Linked DNA regions of Canis lupus familiaris. The protein of the gene in region 3 interacts with the protein of the main gene of each other region in a biochemical or structural test. Links are inferred from orthologs where the notes say so. Each region holds a gene or a part of one and is shown on either strand. Other genes may lie near its edges. The genes, in order: SYNJ2BP, BMP2, ACVR2A and GDF2.

Region 1 (5,374 bases), on a different chromosome or scaffold from region 3:
CAGGGCTCAGTCTCACAACTCAGATCATGACCTGAGCCAAAATCAAGAGTCAGATGCCTAACCAACTGAGCCACCCAGGTTATCCCAAACTCATTTTCTTTGACGATTAATAATTTTGAATTGCCTCAAGAGCTCTAACTATAGAATAACATCGATATCGATATAAATGCATAAGATGTAGAAAAGGAATGGACTTAATTTAATAAGCATTGACCACTCTGGATATTTTAATTTTTTGCCAAGATCCTGAAATGAATCACAATGAGGGAAGGGGGGGGCTCTTTTTTCATCAGAGTTGAAGAGGGAAAAAAATAGATTATCTAGTTCTAATTAATCAGACCAAACCAAAAAAGTCCGTTATGCTATGATGCATTCACAGAGCAACTAACCTACTGCATACATACTCTGTGCCAGCTACAAACATATAGGCAGGGGGGATCCTAAGCTGGGGATACTGAGCTAGGAGGACAAAGTGCCTCTAGGCATCCTTTGTCTAAAGGATTCCGCATATTCCAATGTCTTTGCAGCCAAGCAGATGAGGGGTTCTGGTGGGTCTTTCCCACTGATTTCTAAGCTATGTGTGAAGGTGAGTGTTTCATTTTTCAAATCATTCCAGAGCACCTGGCATGGTGCTCTGCAGGCTGTCAAGTATAACAGCTATAAATGCTGAGGACTACTCAGCTCTTTCATTCACCAAGTTAAGAATTACACTTGATGAAAACATGAAATGTGGCTGACTAGTGGCCTGATCTGTGCCATTTTGTTATATAAAGGGTTTGGTCAAAAGGGAATATTCATCTATTCAGTGTAATAATTAGCTCATATCACCCTGAACTTCATAAAAATGCAGCATTCACTGAGCATGGACTGTTCTTAACTATCCACCTCCCATCATTTAGGCAGGCACACAACGGAAATGACAAACCTAAGCAGTTTACATTTTTTTCCCCTCAAAAATAAAATCTTTCCCTTGTAACCTATACAAATATTAAATTGCCCTAACCATCACATACAAAATAAACTCTGGGTGAGGAATCTCCATCTCCAGCCCTCATCTCAACTTCAGGTCCTTCTATTAGTAATACCTGTTTTTGTTTTATGGTTGTCAGATGCAATAGGGCCTTAAAAATAATTTATGTTAAAGGAATTTCTTTTCTTCCTCCCCCTCCCATTTTTTTAAGTTTAAACATTCCACAGAGGTCACAAAAAAATGTAATTTAACTTTTAATGAGCAAGAGGGAATTGCATAAGTCATGCAATTATTTAGTTTTACTTGAAATTAAGACAAAACACGGGCATTATTTCAAGAGAAATGGAAAGATTAATTTATTAGTCAATACTAACTCTAGGAAATCTAGATCACTAAATAAGATTTGTATTAGTTATCCAAAATGGATGTGCCAAGGAAGTAACATATTCTTAGTTTGATTATCTAGCAAAAGTTAAAAGAAAGAGCTGGGGCATATTTTACAACATGGAAAAATAGCCTATGTGAAGAGAACAGAAAAACCCATAAAGAATCAAGGAGAATATAAGCTAATAAACAGTTCAGCACCATCATTTTACAGAGACTCCACAGCCAGTATTAGAGCACTTAGTTAAATCAGAGGGAGAGTGAGTTACAAAGGAGACATAACCATTTAATGGTTAATGCCCAATGAGTTCACTTAAGGAGAGAGTGGAAAAGACAGTGAGAAGGTGAGAGAGGCAGTATTTCTTAGGAAAAGGATCTAGAAAGAATTATGTTGGAGCAAACTCTTGATAGGGAGACTGGAGTCATAAATAAGATAGCCCTAGAAAGAAAGAAAGAAGAGAATATGCTGGCCTTCTCCTCTTGTATATGCTCCATCTTTTTCTCTTCAGTCTTCTTTCTTTCTCTTCCTATCTGTTTTACAACTTTTGTCAGGCATTTCCTCCCTCTCTTCTTTCCCATATCTTAATTGTCCAAAACATAAACTTGAATCATTCCTTGTTATATGTCCTATATATATTTGTAATATTTAATATATTGTATAGGTCTTTGTAATATTTCTCATATTTGTTTTACTTTAATAAAGTAAAATCCTGTTTGGTGTAAATTTCAAGGTGAAGAGAGCAGTTTTTTTGACATTTACTTTTTGCTCCATGGACATCCATCTCCTACCATACTCTCTAAAAAAAAAAAAAAAAAACTTGAGTGCCTTCCAATAATTTCTTTTCTCTATGAGGCAATGGTCCACATAAGAAAGGCTGCTCATCTTAGCTTATGTTTAATAAATTCTCTCATACTGAGCTAAATGACCTTTTCCCTCCAATTATACCCTTAAAGACTGATTTGTTTTTATATAAAACCATACAAAATATCTATTAATTAACCATACAACCTTCTGTTTAGATACCTAGTCCTAGCTCCTCATTTACTTCTTAGGAGGCAGTACAGCATACTGATTAAGAGTAGGGGCTCCAAATTCAGACAGATCAGTTTTAGTCCTCTGCCACCTACCAGTTGTGTGACCTTGGGCAAGCTGTTTGACCTCACCAAGACTCAGCTTCCTTAGCAGCAAAGTAGTTATAATAATTGTACTCACCTCATAGGGTTACCACAATATTAAACAAACGTAAAGTTCTCAGCATATTGCTTAGCATATGGTGCTCAAAAACTTCTAACCATTCTCATATAATCTACCCTTTACCAAACCTTTTTGAATAATATGGCTGTCCTCTGAACCCCTATACTTTTCAAATGTAACCCAGGCCCCAGTATTCTGGAGAGAATGTGTTATATGTCACTATGAACTGCATAATTTCTGCCTACATGCTATACCATTAACAACCCACTCTTAAATTTTCCTTAATGTTCCACTCAAGTTGATTTCATGTTTTTAGGAGGTCTTTCTCCAGGGAGCTAATATGAAATAATCTACTTGTAAACCTCACAGTATCATTTTGAGATAAAAGGTATTTATCACTGTTTGTATCTTTCAAATTAATAAACAGGATCTAGGAGAAGGTTAATGGTCTGAAAAGAGGCAAAATAGCTGGTGAGAAGGACAAAAATAGGCTATTACTATCCAAAATACTATATTTATATTCTGGATCAGCCAATCTTTCTGGGCTTGCCTGAATTTCTTAACTTGTTCATTTGTTAAATATATATTGAGCATTGCAAGGATGTAAAAGGTTAAAAAAAAGATCTAGTCCCTGCCCTTGAGAAACTTTTAGAAAAGAATCAAATCAAAGCTCACCATATAGTAAGTGTCTTATTACAAACATTAGCTGAATGAAATGGGAGCACAATGGACAGATACCCAAATGAGAATGCATTCAAATTTTTCATCTTCATGACGGGTGAGAAGGGATTTGAGTCTAAAAAGGAAGCTTAATTTCTACCTTCCTTTTTTGTTTCTTTGGAGTAAAGGAAGACACACATTAATCTTTCAATGAAAGGGAGGTGATAAAGTATAACTGAAAAAGGACAATTGTGGGTTTTAAGTCTCTTTCCCCTACATCAGCCCCTCAACCTTTCCTATTCCCTGTTTTTTGAACTTGGTTAAAGTAGCTTCACATTCTGGACTGAAGATGCCTTGTCTATCAAGTAAGGAATTATCCTCTTTGCTCTATGTTTGGGCAGGAAAAGGTGACTGATCAAGGTCCCTCCCACCATATTCTACAATCCAGATATTTCCAGATCCAAAAAGGCAGGCAGAAATCTTCCCAAGGAAAGGGCTAAGGGTAAGAACTGGGGTCTAGGGAGCAAGAAACAGTGAAGGAGGCCGAAGCCAGTTCTCACCGAGAGGATCTTATCACCCTCCTGGAGCCGCCCATCCAGGGCCGCAGCCCCATTCTCTTTGATGCGGCTGACGTAGATGCCACTGTCGTTGGAGACATACTGCTGATCTGTCCCACCGACGATGTTGAAGCCCAGCCCTGAGAAAATCATGGAGGAGTTGTGAAGGAGATAGTGATGAAGTAGAAAGGGATTAGAGAAGAAAGAGAAAGAGGAGAGGCCTAGTGAGGAGGGGAGGCTGGTGAGTCAAACTGTGATGTAACTGGTCAATAGACACAGGCAAGGTTAGTGAAGAGGATCATCAACAGAGGTCAAGAGTACCCAGAGTTGCCCACTTAGGCCAGGCAAGATTAAAAATACAAACACAGAGATCAACATAGTCTGTTTAGTATAAAAAGAAAGATCTATATTCTAAACTCAGTAAAAGAATAACAGTGATTCTTGTAAGATGTACTTCTGTTCATATTCAATTCTGATTCTGCTGGTGGCATTTAAAGGACCCAATTCTTGACTTTCCTGCTATTAATGTAACAGGGTGAGTTCATAAGAAGCAAATGAACTATCTTTAATTTAGTGGAAGAGAGTTTCCTAATCAAAGTTTCCCCTTCATAGTTCCCTTCTCCCAACATTCAGGACAGTTTGCATATGGAGGTGTTTTGGAAAAAAATGGTCTTAGGAGTTTAATTTATTTTTCTATTTTGAGTGTAGGTGTTGGCAGGAATCCTGGGAACTAGAAAGGCAACTGAGGCTTCATGATAGGACTAAACCACCAAATTTACTTTTTCCTTTTCTATGACCAGTGAAAACAACCATGCATTTGGGTAGTCTGTCAAGTTTTATTCACTGTAGGAAACCAGCTACCCACTGATTAGCAACTCTCCATTCCACCCCCACGCCTAAACCCCTGGCAACCACCCTTCTATTCTTTGCTTCTCTAAGTGACTAATTTAAGTGGGTATAAAATTTCAGTTATACACAATGAATAAGTTCTGGAGATCTGGTGTACAACATGGTGCCTATAGATAACAACAGTGTTATTGTACACTTAAAAATCTATTAAGAGAGTAGATCTCATTTAAGTGTTCTTACCATAACAACAAATTAAAAAAAAAAAAAGATGACTTGTAAAGTGTCATTTCTATGGACCAACCAACCAAGTTGTGGAATTTCACTATTCAAAAATCATTGTTATAAACAGAATTTATCTATGCATTAAAAAGAAAAGGAAAAAAAAAGGAACCTCCCTAGGGTTTTCTGTCAGACACTGTAGAATTCATAGCCATAATGCCAAGAGAAAAGAAACAGTTTGAAAATAAAAAACAAAAATCTGGGGGCACAATTAGAAGGAACAGCCATAATCACTAGCTTATTTATTGATTTCAATAGAAAACAGATACTTAAGGAGACATTTGTGGGCTTTCTAAAAAATTCTCCCCATTGATGGGATGAAAGCTTGTGTGTGAAGCTCACAGTATTAACATAAGTACTAGTAAATCAATCTGCAATGTAAGGAAGCACATGGCCAAAGGGAGAGAAGCAGTAGGAAACAACTCATTTAGGTAGCATACCTTGCATAAAGACTATCTAAGCCAGAGAACTAAAGTGGTT
Region 2 (5,946 bases), on a different chromosome or scaffold from region 3:
GACAGGAGAACATAAAGGCTTTTTGCAGGGCCGGTGAAGTCAACCAATTTCAAGGTGTTTTTCAGTACAGCAAAGCACAGAACACTCCTTCCAGGAGGAGGAGTGATTTTTCTTTCCTCAGTGGCAGCTGCGAAAGGTCTATGTGCGGCCAAAGAACTTTTTAATGACTGGAGGAAGAAAACTGTTGGAGTACTTGGGTTCTCCTAAGGGACAAGTACTGTCCAGAAGACTAGACAAAGTTTAATAGGAGAAATGACAACCGATCATTCTGTTTCAGATCACCTACCATGCGGTCCCATTATCTTCACACAGTGGTTGATTATCTGATAACCATGGTATCTCTGGTCTTGTAATTTCACCAAATCACCCAGATTCCACCCACAAATGAAACCAACAACAGGTAATTCTTGGAATCAGGCCCTTAGTTCTCTACCAAACACATGCCCATTAAGGCTGCAGGAGCCAAGTTCTGGTCTTAAGCTAGCTGCCTTAATCACATGATTTATTAAAAGATTTTTAGTGCCATGCATGGCACAAGGATCTTTATAAAAAGCAAATCCTGGGTTACACAAAAATGAAACGGTCTTCAAAATATGCATGATGTGGCCTAAGAATGATATGCTAGTCATAACAAGAACAGAAATGGATGTGATGAAATTTGAGGCAAAAATTACATGGCTTTTTCTATCATCTAACTGCACTGAGATCTGACGTTACTGTAAGTTGACTTTAAGCAGGTTGATAATTTCTCTACTGCTCTGCACATAACTTTCATACTTTTAAAGTTATAAATTCTGACTTATAAACTCAAGCACGCTATTTAGGTTAAAATAACACACTCAAATAATTTGTAGCCTGTTTAGTTTTGATCAAGCCACTCCTAGAGGAAAGAGAAATACACAGACTCCACTGACGGGATCCTCATGCAGCTGAATGTTTTAGGTGTCAGACGACTTAAGTGTTCCTCCTTTAAGTTATGAGAGACACACAGTACCTTCCTAGCCTTTAAAATAATTAAGAGTGGTTCCAGGCTAAATTTCCAGGAGAGGTGGCTGAAATAGCTGCTCTTGCTACTTTTCTATCCAGAAAAATAATTCTTATCAGCATCAGCTGGGAATGATGAGCTGCATCTACTACAATCATTCCAAGATTATGTTGACAGAGCATATAGGAGTGAAAACATTTCTACATATGACAACAGACAACTTCTGCTTCTCAGCGAACGAATCCTGAAGGAGTAGAAGGATGCCTTCTGTGCTTTCTCATGGGAGCTCTACTGCAAAAAAGCACCTCACTTGGAAATGTGCTGGAAAATGATGGATTACGATCAATGGGTTATCAATCCCGTGTCCCTTCACAGTGTACAACTGCTTTGATGAAGAAGTACCTTTGGTTACGCCACCTGCCTTTAGGACTTCTTCCCAACACTAAGTGCTGTTCTCACAAGTGTAGTCACCCTTCACACTGAGAGAAAATAGGTAGCTGTAACAGTTCTTATTTGTTTATGTTAGAGAATAGATTTCTGCCTGAAATTTACCACCTCGAAGCAAGGCAAGAAAATGGGAACTTCACTCCCGATTCCCCAATAATCTACAAGTGACTGCTCTGTGATACACAGCTTTGGAGATTTCTCTAGAACTTGATGAAACCCGTGCTCTATTTGGAATGCATTAAGCCAAAAGGGTATTTAAAAGTGTAGAAAAAGAACTAAAGTGGAACATAAAATTTTTGACTAATTGATCCAAGAACTTGGGTACAACAGATGTCAATAGCTTCTCTTGGACATTTCAAATCCACTAAATGCTGTTCTAATGAAACAAGCAGAAATAGCGTACCTTAGGAAAACCACATCCAGTATCATAAAAGAAAAAAAAAAAATCCACATTTCAATGCACATGGAGAAAAAAAAAAAAAGAACCATCAGGCAGCTGCTGCAAAAGCTTTTATCTGAAGGCTTGCCTTGTCTCTAAGAGGGAGTTCATCTCAGATTTAAGCACAAAACAAGAAAGTCATTGTGGAAACAATAAGATTGATTGTGGGATTGATCTCTCACGGGGATTAGATAGGGATTCGAAATCTTCCAAACCAGGCCCAGATCAACTGTAAATTAGAAAGACTTTGGGGCCCCTGGCTTTGATTCTTCAATAGTATCTCTGAAAAGTCTGTCCTTGGCTGTGTCTAGCCTGAAACCCCAGCTGAAGCAGGAGAAACAGATTTACAGGGCAAAAGGGCTTCCAAACAGACATAAAGAGATCCCAATCTGCCCCCCTCCTTTTCATTCTTCCCCTATGAAATTCTTGCACATTTAGCTGACTAGGGGCATGCCTTTTGCCCTCATCTTCCCCATCACTTGATTTCTCTCCAGTTCCTGGAGGAGGAGTCGCTCTCCTGGCTGCAGGCCAGGAAAAGGGTGCAGATTGACCAAAGGGGAATCCCTGGCTCCCTCGCCACACAGGCAGCGCGGTAAAGCCAGGTTCGGTTCGGAAAGGTTCTTACAAAGGCAAGAACTGCCTTCCCAGGGATGCCAACAGTCGGCCCACAGTGGGGAGCTTCTGGAGGGGACTCTCCGCGCGCATCTCGGCCCCCACGCTCTGCTCCACGCCTCACCTTCGTGGTGGAAGCTGCGCACGGTGTTGGCCAGGCTGGCTGCCCTCTCCAGCCGGTGGTCCGGGGCCGGTGCGCCCGGCTGGCCCGAGTGCCGGCGGTACAGGTCCAGCATGTAGGGGGGCACCACGGCGTCCCTGCTGGGGGTGGGTCTCCGCTTCAGGCCGAACATGCTGAGCAGCCGCAACTCGAACTCGCTCAGGACTTCGTCCGAGGGCTGGGACGGGGAGCGGCCAGGAGATGCCGCGAACTTCCTCCGGCCCAGCTCCGTAATGAGACCGGCCGCGCCGCCCAGGAGGACCTGGGGAAGCAGCAACGCTAGAAGACAGCGGGTCCCGGCCACCATGGTCGACCTGCGGACAGGGCCGACGTGAGTCACCGAGTTCCCCGCCCAATCCTCTCCCCGCCCTCGCGTCCCGGGGCTCCCGCTCCGGCCGCTGCCTCCCCCTCCAGGGTGCCCACCTGGTGTGCAATACTCGCGGGGATACTTCAAAGGTCTTAAGCTCGAACGTTTGGGAGAATGGAAAGCCCCTAGTTCCTGAGCCTGAAGGCTCCCCCCCCTTCCAACTCACTCTCATCCATCCGGCACGATTTGCGCGCGCGCGCGCACACACACACACACACCCCACCAGCGTCAAGACTGTCACCTTTCTTCTGTGACACTCGCGCTGACAGCCCGTGCAGGGAACCTGGGGAAACCACCGCTTGGTCTGACACCTCCCGGATCGCTAAACAAACCCAAACACATTGCCCAGCGCTGGCTTGCATATAAACACGCACGGATGGTGCATGTGACTTCCTTACAGGCACCGTATAGAACTTCCTGATACACACATACACTCACACTCTCTCTCGCTCCCGCCCTCCCGCCCTCCCTCTGACTTCCAGACCCAGTAAACTCAGGGCCACAACTTCCGAAGCCACTTGCAACTTGTGGCCCACGCCTTTAACCTCAGAGGTGTCAGGACAGGGCCACCCCAGCCCCGAACCCCCGCCCCATGCAGTCCAGACACACATACATATTCCTCCAGTTACATAAATAATACCTATTCGGTCACGTGTCACCAGAAGGTGGCATTTAAGTACTGCCCCCCTCGCATTCCTGGCAACAAACAGGGAGAACCCCAACTTCTAGTATTTTCCTAAATGGGACTTGGCTCTGAGTAGAGAGCAGGTCTCCCTGAGAAACTTGAAGAAGGGAGAGAAGATGGCCATGGCAGGGCGCAAAGGTTGGCGACTAACGGGTGAAATCCAGAGGCCACCCTCTAGATTGGGCTTCTTCGAGGTTTTTTTTTTTTTTTTTTTTAATCATCTAAGTGTTAACAGCCCTAATAAAATACTGAGAAGAGAGAAGGGAGGAGGGGCGGAAGAGCGCGAGCCGGGAGGGCCAGGCTCGCCGGGGCGGTCTGGTGGGGGCATCGCCGCAGGGGCTCGGCAGCACGTGGACCCGGAGGGGGTCTGTTTACGTCCGCCCGGCCCGGCCCGGCCCCAGGAGCCGCTCGCCCTCGGCGGCCGCCCGCGCCCCGCGCCCCGCCCCTACCCCCTACCCCGTACCCCCACCCCAGCCCGGGGCCCTCGTCCCCTACCTTTAGGAGACCGCCGACCGTCTAAGAAGCACGCGGGGGCACGTCCATTGAAAGAGCCTCCACATGGAAAAAGCTCTGGTCCAAGGACCTGGCGCAGGGACCCGGTTCCCTCGGGCCGCCGCCGCCGCCGCCGCCGCCGCCTCCTCCCGCCGCCGGGCACCGCGGCCCCGGGTCTGGCCCCGCGGAGCAGTGGGGCGGCGCGGGCGCGGGGTCCGGGCGCGGGGTCCGGGCGCGGGGTCCGGGCGGCGAGGCCGGCTCCGCAGGGGCCAAGGCACCGGCGCGAAGCGGGAGCGCAAGCTATTCTCCCTGCAAGTTCAACAAGTCTCCAGCCAAGTGCTGACACACAACAACAGCGAGCAGGGGGAGGAGGACGGGGCAGGCGAGGGAAGGGACAGGGCAGAAGCCGGTGCGTCGTCGTCCTCAGGCACCGGCGCCCGCGGGACGCGGGGCCCGGCGCGGGGGCCGAGGGTCGGGCGCTCCCTCCGCGCTAGCGCCGCCGCGGCCCGTGGCTCGGGGCGGCCATCCTGGGCGACGCCGGGTGCGGGGAAGGGCGCAGCGGCGGTCTCGGGGCCGGGCGGGGGGCGCCCCCGCATCACTCGGCCTCGCTCCAGCGCAGCCCCGCCGGCGCCCGCCGGCCGATCGCCCCGCGGCTCCGGCGCCCCGGCGTCCTCGGGCGCATTCTCCGGCGAGGCGAGGCGAGGCGAGGCGAGGCGAGGCGGCGAGGCGGGTCCCGGGCGGCCGAGGCGCGCGGCCGCGCTCTCCCCTCGCGGCAGCCCCCGGGCCAGACTGCGCTGCGCTCCGGGGCCGGCCCGGGGTCCGCTCACGCGTCGGCCGGCGCGTCGCGGGCCCCCACGCTCGGGCGGCGCGGGCTCGGCATCGCGGCGCTCGGGCTGGGCTCGCGGCTGCGCGGCGCCGTGCGCGCGGCTCCCCGGCTCCGGCGCGGCCCGGGCGGCCGAGGCCACGGCGCAGGGGCGCGCTCGGCCGGGCGCTCCAGCCCGCGCGGGGTGAGCGGCGCGCGGCGGCGGCGGCGGCGGCGGCGGCGGCGGCGGCGGCGGAGCAGCCCCCGTAGTCCGCGACGCGCTGGCCGCGAGGTCGGCGGGTCGCGGCGCAGCCTGCGGCGGCGGGCGTCCGGCGGCGGCTGCCAGTCCCCGGCGGGGTGTGGGAAGCGGAGCGGCGGGCGCAGCGCGAGCCGGGCGCAGGCGGCGGGGCGAGGACTCCGGCGGCGGCGCCGTGGCGCGGCGCTCGCGGCTTTTAAAGGGGACGCAGCCTGCCTGCAGCCTCCGTCTCCGCGGAGGCCGGACACCTCCCCCTCGGCGGCGCGGCTCGCCGGGGATCCCCGAGCGGGCGGGAGCCGGAGCGGGAGCGGGAGCGGGAGCGGGAGCGGCGCGCAGGGGTGTGGACGGCGCGCCGGGGCAGCCGCGGCGGGGTGGGGCCGAGGGCGGGGCCGCGGGGCCGCCGAGGGGGGCGCTCGCGCATCCAGCCCCTGCGCTCCGGGGGGAGAGCGCGGGGAGCGCGGGACCCGCGGCGGGGCGGCGGGGGCGAGGGTCCGGGCGAGCGCGGGGGCGAGCCTTTATCTCCTGCCCGGCCCGTTATTCAACTTTCAGTTTGAAGTTTTTCGGTAACAGATGATTAAGGAGAAAAAAAAGAAGAAGAAAAAAAAAAAAAAAAAAAAGAACTCAACCAAGTTACAAGGCGTCTTGGCATAGGGTTGCGTAGACACTTGTGTTTCTCCAGGGTGGGGGAATTAAAAGAAAAC
Region 3 (6,122 bases):
CCAAAGGCACATAGACTCACTCACAGAAACACACACGGGCACGGGCGTGCACACACCCGGCACTGCCTACCTATCTGAGGTCAAAGAAATGCACATAATTACTTTATTTCCATTTCTTATTTCATCAAATATATGGACCAGGCTGCTCCAGTTCCCACAGAAACCCAAATTCCTCAACTTAGTCAGTGCAACTCAAACACCACAATAGCTGCATCATTCTAGGTAGGAGAGACCTAAGTGCTAGAGCAAGTATTAAACTCATAGTTTAACAAATGGTGAAGAAAGACACAAATTAGCCACACTGCTTTAAAAACAAACAAACAAATCCAATAAATCGATTTGTGTTTTGAAACAGAATCTGAGGAAGGATAAAAAGAATGGAAAAAATGCAAATACAAAAGGAATCTGAAGGCATCTGAGGAATAGAACAAAACTCAAAAATGTTTCCCCTGGAATTACATTAAGAAATTACATACTTGGCCATATCCTACAGGAATAGTCTGCAAAATCAGTCTCCTATATACTATGCCATGGGATGGAAACTGAAAAATCAAAGTCTGCAAAATACTAAAAAAAAAAAAAAAAAAAAAAAAAAAAAAAAGAAAGAAGCATCCACCCTAAAAATCTGATAAACAGCTCTTTATTACTATTTTTCATTTGCTTAAAAAAATTAAATATCCAGAAACAAAAAAAAAATGACAACTTGAGAAATTTTTTAATTCTCATAAAAATAGCCATCCTCATGCTTCCAGCATGCCAGATTACATATTACCTAGGAAAATCAATTAGGAAAGGAAACACAATAATCTTTTAGAGTGCATTTGATTCATAACAAAAGCCTTTTAAAAAATCAGATATTTTAAGTACTAAATATCTTTATACATAAATATGGATTAAAGTCTTTAAGATGATTTCAATTATCTTCAACAGAATTATATTTTAGTTCAACTAGGAATTATTTGGGGAAAAAAAACTATGCAACAATATTCAGCACCGGTTTTATGTAATTCTATGTGCTATACATATCTATATGCTCTGTAAGCAAGAAAATTACTGTATTTCAGAATTTTAGCTATTAACCTCCTGGCCCACTGAAAATAATCCTACAAGAAACTAACGCTCAATTCTTTTTGCTTCTAAACCAAGCAGAGGAGGCTGTAAGATCTGTAAGCGACAGCCTGCTTTTCCAGAAGTAATACCTTGAGACTGCTTAAGAATAACCCCCTTCACCAATTATTGTGACTCAGGTGGGTTTGGGAGGGAATAATGTCCACAATTCCTTGGTCAGTGGCCATGATGCCCCTCCTCCTCAAGGGCAGGAGATCAGAGAAAGGGATTTGAACATGAGGAGTTCACCAACCAGAACATACAGGAACCAGGAGAGAGAGAGAGTACTACGGGGAAAATAAAAACTGCATAGTTAAGTCATGTCACAAAAGCGAGAGGTTTAATGTTATCAAGGTATTCATTCATTTCGGAGACACCATTGTTTATCTTCCTCCCCAAGCCCTGCACAAAAAGAACTGTCAGCCTGCCTTAAGCATGTTCCTTCTTCCATTTAAACAGACATGATTCTTTGGTTAATCTCTGGCAATGATCGCCATTTCACAACACATTTAGCCCACCCGGAACTGATCAATACCACTACAGACATAAGACTAGACTTTATCCATTTATTAACCACAAGGAAATGTACCATTCAGCAAAATTCTATACGTTACAAAGGATTCTATTAGAAGAGGGGGCTGGGAGGACGGACGGACACACACACACACACACACACACACACAGCACAGAGGTACACAAAGAAAAGACTAACACCCTCTAATTTCCCTGCAGCAAACGAGATAAAGACGTGGCCGTGAAACCTGTCAATTCGTCCCCCCCTCCCCCCCCGCCTCCAATAATTCTCTCCCACAACCTGGTACCCGAATATTGAATTTTATGATCACCAGATCCACTGCGACTTCAAAAGTGTTCCATCCATCAAACTAAACTCTCCTGCGACGTACGTGTGCACACCTTGGAGCTGGGCTGCGTTCGTTTACCGAACCCCAAACACAAAAGACTAGTTTCCCAACCACTGGTTGCAAAGGCGTACAACGTCCAAGCAAAAATCACAACGTCGGATGCAGGAGGGACCAGGTCGCCCCCTCCAAACCTCGGGCCACAACCCACGCCAGGACCGCAACGTCTCTGACGAGCGCGAACCATCTCGAATGGCTGCTCTATAGACCGAAAACAATGCCTCGATACACCGCGCGTTAAGAGAAGTCCCCCGTAGGTGAGCGGAATCTGTGCCAGCCGAGAGCACGCAGACATGGTGGTGAGGGCCAGCGCTCCGCCAGCGCCCGGCCGCGCTCCGCTCCGCGCCGCGGTATTGTGAACACCCGGGCCACAGCAGCTACAACTATTTTTAACGCGGCTGGACGCCGAAGTTGAGGAGACCGTGAGGCGGGCGGGCGGGCGGGCGAGGGGGGTGGGGGGGACCCCGATGACACCGCCGCCGCGCCGCATTGTTTCTCGCCGTCCGGAGCGAGCGGGCGAACGGGCGAACGGGCGGGCGAACGGGCGAACGGGCGGGCGGGCGACGGCCGGCTGGACGCCCGTCGTGACGGCCACCGCGGAAGCGCTGGTTACGAGACAATCAAACCCAGAACAAAACGCGCCGCTCCGGGGTGGGGGGGAGGCAGGCCACGCGACACGCCGCTCCGGGGGGCGCCTTTCGGGGCTCGAACCCGCGGCCCCGGCTGTCACTCGCGCCGCTTGTGGCTTAACCGCCCCCCTCCCCCCCCCCGCCCCAGGCAGCGCTGTCACCCGGGGCGAGGGCCACGGAGCGTGACTTTCCCAGTCGCACGGCCGAGCCGTCCGTCTCCTCAGCCCGCCGGCCCGGCTCCGAGCGGGAGACGCTGACAGAGATTTCCGGGGCACGGTCGGGGCTGAGGTGGGGGGTCGCGCGGGGTCGCGGCCCAGGGCGCCGGGGGGCGGGTGTGCGCGCGTGTGTGCGCGCGTGTGTCCGTGCGCGCGCGTGTGTGTGTGTGTGTGTGTGTGTGTGTGTGGAGCTCCCCAGGCCGCCGCCGCCGCAGCCCCGCCGCGCTCGCTCCACGCACCTACCTGAAGAGCAGGAGATAAGAAACACGGCGAACGCCAACTTCGCAGCAGCTCCCATTTTCCGAGGCGCCGGGGGATCCGCAGCAAGTTCTCGCTAGAGAGCCCGTTCCCTGGTCTTCCTCGGAGACAAACCTCCTGGTGTGAAATCAACCGTCATAAAACATATTCGGAAGCCCCCGACCAAAAAGAAAAATAAAAAAAAATAAAAAACGAAAAAGGTTCACGGGGTTAAGAAAAAAAAAAAAAGGAAAAAATAAAAGAGCACAATAATGCTATATATTAAAAAAAAAAAAAAAAGGAAAAATGCACCACGGGGAAGGGGTGGGGGGAGAAAAACCGCCACACACACGCACGACACACAAAACCAAACAACGAAAAGGCAACAACAACAAAAGCGGGTTTAAATCACTGTCAAAATCGCTGTCAGCGCCGCTCGCCTGTCGGGGCTCTCGGAACAAAACGCCAGGCGGAGGCGCCGAGGCGGCGGCGGGGCGGCGGGGAGCCCGAGCCGCCCGGACAGTCCGGGAGCCGAGCCGGGTCCGACGTCCGGACCGACCTTCAACCCGGACACCCAAAGTCCGCGGACCGCTGGCGGCCGGGCTGGCGGCCGTGGCGGCCCGGGCGGCGGGGACGGCGCGGCGGCGGCGGGGACGGCGGCGGGGACGGCGGCGCAGGCGGCGGCGCAAGCGGCGGCCAAGTTCTGGTCCAGGCTCTGGCTCCGGCTCCGGGCTCCGGGCTCGGCCGCGTTTTCGGTCCCCTGGCCTCCGCCGGCCCCGCCCCCCACACTTCCGGTTCCGGCCCGAAGCTGGAAGCCAGGCGCGGCGGAGGAACGCTCGGCCGCGGCGGCGGCGGCGGCGGCGGCGGGGACGGGGACGGGGACGGGGACGGGGACGGGGACGGCGGGGCGGCGGGCGCAGCGCGCGTGCCGGGCCGGGAGCGCGAGGAGATGGTCGGGGAGGCGAGGCGAGGCGGGCGCGGGGAGGGGCGCGCGCGAGGGCGGGGCGGGCCGGAGGGCGGGGGCGGGGCGGGGCGGACGGAGGCGCGTTCCCGCGAGGCCTGTGCGTCCGGCCTGCGCGGCCTGCGGGGCTGCGGGGGCTGCGGGGCCCGGGCGGGCGGGACGCGGGGCGCGGGGAGCCGCGGAGCCCCTGCCGTGCCCTGCCCTGCCCTGCCCTGCCCCGCGCTGCCCCAGGGGACGCCGCGTCCGCGGAGCCGCCCGGCCGACCCGGTGCGCGCGGGCTGCAGGCGCGGCCCGGCCCCAGCCCCAGCCCCCGGCGCCCGAGCGCTCAGTGCCGCGGCCGAGCCACCGGGCCGGGCGTGCACGCGGGGCGGGGGGCAGCCGAGCGCCGCCCGGGATCGCGCGGGGTCCGCTCCGCACCCGGCGGGGTCGCGGCTGCCTCTTTCTTTCCTTGCATCTTTTTCTTTCTTTCTTTCTTCTTTCTCTTTTTTTTTCCTTAAATTTTCACGCCCCCTAAGCCAGGTGGATCGCTCGCACGGGGCCGGGCCGGGCTCGGATCGCGACTCCGAACGCAGGACCAGCGTCCCCCCTCGCGGAGCCCGCGGCGGCGGCGGGTTCGAGCCCCGCGGACGCCGGGACCCGACCCGACCCGACCCGACCGACCCGACCCGACCCGACCCGGGGCCGCCCGGCCCTGCCTGCGGCGTTCTAGCGTGAGCTCCGCAAACCGTTTTATTTTTTTAATGATAAAGAGTCATAAACCGTACTGCGTGTGGCTAACTCCTCTGTTTCACTGGTGCTTTACCGATCCCCACGTTTTTCCCACAAAGCCAAGCCTCCTCCCATGTATGTACACAGTGGTTTTTTTTTTTCCCCTTCCTCTAAATTACTCAATATCGCTATCTATGAAGCTCATCCTGTAATTATCTGCCCATTTCTACGACTTGTCAGGGTCATTAGTAATGACTGTGACTCTTAAACTCCCTCCAAGATCTCCAAGTCCTCACGTCGTGGTGCTCAGAATTTGGTTTTCTGTTTGTTTGTGCTCAGAATTTGTTTTTGTTTTTTTTTTTTATTTGTTTTTTTTGTGAGGTTTTTTTGTGTGTTTTGTTTTGTTGATTTTTTTTGGTTTTGTTTGTTGGTTTTGTTTTGTTTTTGTTTTTTTTTGTTTGTTTGTTTGTTTTGGTGCTCAGAATTGGACTGATGTTGTGCAACAGTTAAGAAAAAGTCCCCAGTGGGTCTTCAAGGTGTCTAAATGGTCCCATATTATGTAATTCTCTGGACCTTATGAGCTGCTCAGAGGAATAAATATAAACATTCTTCCATTCTCTACTTGCACTGTTTCCACTAATGTTTCTGGAATGGAAGAGCGTATTTAGTGCATTCAGGAATTTTTCTGTGGGTTATACCCTGGATCAGGCCTCCCTGTTGTCTTATCTCTGCATCACTTCCATATTTCGCAGATTGTGAAACCACAGAGAGTGGAATAACTGGAATAACCAGTAATAGGACTAAAACACACACACACAAAAAAATTATATTCCTTATCTTACCACCTAAATTTGCCAGTAGAAGAATTTTAAGAGAAGAAGGAAATTATTTTTTCTCTGTCGCATAAAAGGGGAGCAACAAGTCAGAGTCCTCGCTGAACTATTCTTATAAAGAGTTTAGCCCCCCCCCAGAAGTTATTAATATCCAGTAACAGTAGTTACCTATTTTGTTCCTAAAATCCCCCATCTTCTGTATATTTTTAAAAATTCAAAAATAATTTAACTTAAGACGTGAGAGTATGTGACTAACTCCCACTGGAATTCTAAAGCTTGAAAACTAGACAGAGGTAGCTGCAGCTAACCCTACTGCCCCTCTTTTTCCTATTTCTAGAATCACTTCTTCTTAATCCACAAATCCAACAACTCCCTAACAGTGCAAGCCATACAAGAGGAAGAAGGAGAAGGAAAGAAGGAGAAGAAAAGGGGCAGAAACGCGAAAGGAACTCTGGTCCGACAAAGCGTTAGACGATAATGTGTTAAACACCTTTAGCTGACATCACTCAATC
Region 4 (3,908 bases), on a different chromosome or scaffold from region 3:
GCTGCAGGCTCGCAGGCCTCGTCCCCGGAGGACCTGGTGGCGTGGGCGGCTCACGAGCAGAGGCTGGCAGGTCCCCACGCCAAGCCCACAACAGCCACAGGACAGAAGCACGGTCGTGCTCCTCAGGGTGGGGAGGTCGGGGCCAGGCTGCGGCGGGGCGGGGGGAGGCTGAGGGGTGCCACCGGAGCCGGGCCTTCAGGGAAGGTGACTGGGCTGCGGTGGAGCGGGGCCTGAGGGCAGGCCGAGGACCGAGGGAGCCGGGCTGGGGCTGGAGCGGGGGCGGCTCTGGCTCCAACCTCTGGGCCCGCGGGCACCACGCAGGCCCTTCCATGGACATCTCCCGGGCCCCCCGCAACGGAGACGCTGCCCTCTGCATCCACCTGAGGCTCTGTCCTCAGGGAGGGGAGGGCCCAGGGGCAGGGGTGGCCTGGGCGCGGTGTCCGGGGGCCATGAGGCCTCTGATCAGGGGAGTCCACCGCGGACACACTCGACTTTATTTCCGAGTGAAGCTTTGATGCAGTCGCAGGATTGTGCCGCCGGGACTAATTCCTCATCCGGTCTCACCAGGAGTTAGTATTTTCTACAATTCGGTAGTTAATTGTATTTAAATTAATGAATTTGAATTCTGTTAAAGCTCTCCGTTGGTTCCATGTAAACTAACATAAATCTGTTTTTTTTTTTTTTTTTTTTTTTTAATATGCTAGGAGCTTCCACCCGCGGGGAAGGCCAGGTGGCGGGGCCTGCGACGGGCTCTGCTCCGGCCGCGGCCCTCAGGGCTCCCAGGAAACCCCGTCCTCCCCGAGGTCAGCGGGCCGAGTCGGGTCCTGGGGCCGGGGCCGGGGCCGGGGCCGGGGCCGTGCAGCTCAGGGAAGCCGGCGGGGGCGGCGGGGGCCGGGAAGGCCCGGCTGGGCGAGAGGACTAAAAGGGACATCGCAGCCACCAAGGCAAGAGCACATTTATTCCGACCAACTCCAATCCAGGCCCCGGGGCGTCGTGCTGGTGAGCTGCTTGGGCCGCGCACACCCGGGGACCCCGTGCTGGGCAGTGGCCCGCACTGCCAGCTGAATGCGCTGTCCCACGGCCCCGGTCCCGCCCCGTCCCCCGTCCCCCCTCCCCGCCCCCGGCCCCCCGGCCGCCGTGTGTACGCAGCCTCGGGCGCCTGTCGTGCACTCCATCCCTCCTGCAGCTGCTCTGGGGGATGGTTGCCCAGGGACTCGAGGCGCATCTGAGAAAGCCCCGGGCCCCCGGTGCAGCCCGGCGCCCGTCAGAACGTGCTGGACGCTCCAGCGGCCCGGCCAGCCTGGTGGGCACTGGCTGGGGCTCAGTGCAGCTCGGCCCCGCTGCCCGCCTCCAGCGTCTAATTTTCTTTAGCTGTGAGGTGACCTGATACCCTTTGATGGGGTACCTGAGAGGGTCCTGGGCCCCGGGGAATGACGGATCTGTGCAGACCGAGGGTTGGACCCCATCTCCATGGCCGGTGTGGCTTGAAATGCCTGTGTTTTGGTTGCTCGTGAGCCCCACCTCGCCGGGTTGCAGGGAGGCTCGAAACGAGGGGTGTAGAGCACGTGGCTCTCCGGGCCCGCACCCCCTGAGTTGTGGGAATGTGCCCCGTCCTTCCCGCCTCCTTTAAGCCCCACCAATCTCTGCACCTCATCTGTCCAGCCCCCTGCCTCGTTTCTGCTATTTTCTGCTAACCCTGGATTGCTTTCCTCTCGGCCTCTTTTTTCTTCTCCCCCCTTGCACCCCAATGATCCTTCCGGGCTCTCCTCCTCTCCCCCGCCGCTGCCCTGGCCCCGGCCACTGCTGTCCCATGCGAATGGACCCAGTGGTGGACGCCTGGGGTGGGCAGGCCATCACCTCCTGGACGTGGCCGCCCCCTTCCCTCCTTCAGGCTGGCATGCCCAGAGGGAAACGGGGCCCGTCCACCCTGTCCCCCCGCCCGAGGCCGGCACTACCTGCACCCACACTCTGCCACACTCATCCCTTCGTAGTGGTACTTGAGAGTGGGGACCCCCATGTCATCCTTGTAGAGGATGGAGATGGGGCTCAGTTTGGTGGGCACGCAGCAGGCCTTGCCCACCTTCATGGGGAATTTGAGATGCACCAGAGTCTGCACGATGGCGTGTTTTGTTGGGGTCATGTCGTCAGCCAAGGGGAAGAAGCAGCCGCCTTTACATTCGTAAGCGTCGTACTCCTTGGGTGCAATGATCCAGCTATCCCAGCCGATGTCCTCGAAGTTCACCCGCAGGGAGGTCTTCTGACAGTGGTTGTTGGCTCCGGCACTCCTCTTTCGTCTGGCTAACGAGGACCCTGTGGCCATGTGACCTTCCCCGCCCCCCTCGGCCTTGCGGTCACCCGCCCCTGCTGGACTGTTCTTGGACCACTTCGTGAGCACGCTGTCCTGTTCGTGGCTGATCATCTCCCTGAGCTCCAGCCTGGTCTCCTTGGTCCCATTGCTGCGGTCGTTGGAGAAGACAACAAAGAAGGGCAGGTTTTTGGAGCCCGGGGGGACACTGATATCCAGCTTGTCGCAGCCCTTCCTGTGACTCTCCACAGTCACTTCCAGTTTGTTTTTGCTCTTGGTGGAGTCTGCTCTGACCCACCGCTTCACAGCGCTGGACACCTCGAAGGTCTCCCAGCCCTCATCCGAGATGTCCTGGGACACGAGGAACGTCTTGGTGCCTGCGGAAGCATCCCAGGCATCTGCTCCATCCAGAACGTCATAAATAGCCATGTTGCCTCTCAGTTCACGAGAAGCGGCTCCGTGACCTTGGCAGGAGACGTAGAGTCGGAGCTCGGCCCTGGTGATCTGCTCATGCCTAGGAATGGAGACGTTGAAGAGCAAGATGTGCTTCTGGAAGGGGAAGTCCTCTGTGGCCATGATGGAGACAGCATCTGAAATGCAAGGGCACAGTCAAGGTCACCTTTCATGACACCAAAGCTGAGACTTGTGACTTGGGTCAAAGGGCATCCAGGATGCCACTGACCAACTCTATCAAATCTTTATTTGGTTTCACTTAGGCCCTTCGTGTAGAAGGATTTAAAAGACATTTAGGATCTTCCAGAAAACCAGAGGCAGGAGGTGCCTTGCATTGGAGTTGACAGGTCCGCCCTTCAGGGAGCACCTACTAGGTGCCCAGCATCGCACTAGGAGCTCTGCATTCTCTGTGTCACTTTGCTCTCCGCACGGGCCCTGGGACGGTCTAATTATTTCCCATTTTTACAGATGTGGAGACTGGCATTTGGGCTGTTTAACTGCCAAGCGCGCACATCCTGTTAAGCTCCTCACATTAAAAGAAAGTACCAAATAAGCAGCGCAGCAAAGCATACCGTCAGCCTCAGAGTGGGAATCGCAAGCGTGTGACGTGGGAGGAGCCGCCCTGGGCGGGGATGGCAAATTTCCAGCATTAACACAATGTTAAAAATCTCAGCAATTTAAACAGCAAAGAAATTATTCAGAACTCTAATTTCCAAGCAAAGTGAAACTGAATTTTTTTTTTAATTGGGGGAAAAAAATGAAAGAGATTCGCCTCACCTGCTTTGTCACGTTAGTCATCAATGGGGCGTACCCTGTAGCTACCCAAGTGTCTCAGTTTCCAACTTCTCCTAGCTGGCACGCAGCCACCAGCACATCTCTGTGATGCCACGGCTCGGTCACAGCGTGAGGGGAGCCTGCGTGCTGCTGTGAGATCCGGCAGCGTCTGGCAGACCAAGGTGCTAGTCTGGACTCTGTCCCTTCCCAGGCTCGTGACCTCGGAGAAGTGCTGAGTGGCTCTGAGCCTCAGTTGCCTCATCTGTGGAATGGGGCTCATCCTCCCCGCCTTCCAGGGTTGGTGGGAGGCTCCCCCACGGCGGCACATGGAACTTACTGACACTGCCCCTGGCTCACAGCTGACGCTCGGCCAGTG

The links.
Region 1: the proteins of ACVR2A (region 3) and SYNJ2BP form a complex in vitro, tested with the Homo sapiens proteins (2 studies listed by BioGRID and IntAct, with this or other methods). The link is inferred for Canis lupus familiaris from reciprocal best matches to the Homo sapiens genes ACVR2A and SYNJ2BP.
Region 2: the proteins of ACVR2A (region 3) and BMP2 form a complex in vitro, tested with the Homo sapiens proteins (3 studies listed by BioGRID and IntAct, with this or other methods). The link is inferred for Canis lupus familiaris from reciprocal best matches to the Homo sapiens genes ACVR2A and BMP2.
Region 4: the proteins of ACVR2A (region 3) and GDF2 form a complex in vitro, tested with the Homo sapiens proteins (2 studies listed by BioGRID). The link is inferred for Canis lupus familiaris from reciprocal best matches to the Homo sapiens genes ACVR2A and GDF2.

What each region holds. Positions count from the first base shown.
Region 1 is NC_049229.1:44,326,071-44,331,444, forward strand, and holds part of SYNJ2BP (synaptojanin-2-binding protein), read right to left. Parts: intron 3,907-5,374; coding exon 3,770-3,906; intron 1-3,769. UniProt on the Homo sapiens protein: Regulates endocytosis of activin type 2 receptor kinases through the Ral/RALBP1-dependent pathway and may be involved in suppression of activin-induced signal transduction.
Region 2 is NC_049245.1:15,657,724-15,663,669, forward strand, and holds the start of BMP2 (bone morphogenetic protein 2), read right to left. Parts: upstream 3,428-5,946; 5' UTR 3,353-3,427; coding exon 3,252-3,352; intron 2,958-3,251; coding exon 2,608-2,957; intron 1-2,607. UniProt on the Homo sapiens protein: Growth factor of the TGF-beta superfamily that plays essential roles in many developmental processes, including cardiogenesis, neurogenesis, and osteogenesis. Induces cartilage and bone formation.
Region 3 is NC_049240.1:51,289,346-51,295,467, reverse strand, and holds the start of ACVR2A (activin receptor type-2A), read right to left. Parts: upstream 3,681-6,122; 5' UTR 3,170-3,680; coding exon 3,115-3,169; intron 1-3,114. UniProt on the Homo sapiens protein: On ligand binding, forms a receptor complex consisting of two type II and two type I transmembrane serine/threonine kinases.
Region 4 is NC_049225.1:35,876,689-35,880,596, forward strand, and holds the end of GDF2 (growth/differentiation factor 2), read right to left. Parts: intron 2,896-3,908; coding exon 1,952-2,895; 3' UTR 1,134-1,951; downstream 1-1,133. UniProt on the Homo sapiens protein: Potent circulating inhibitor of angiogenesis. Signals through the type I activin receptor ACVRL1 but not other Alks. Signaling through SMAD1 in endothelial cells requires TGF-beta coreceptor endoglin/ENG.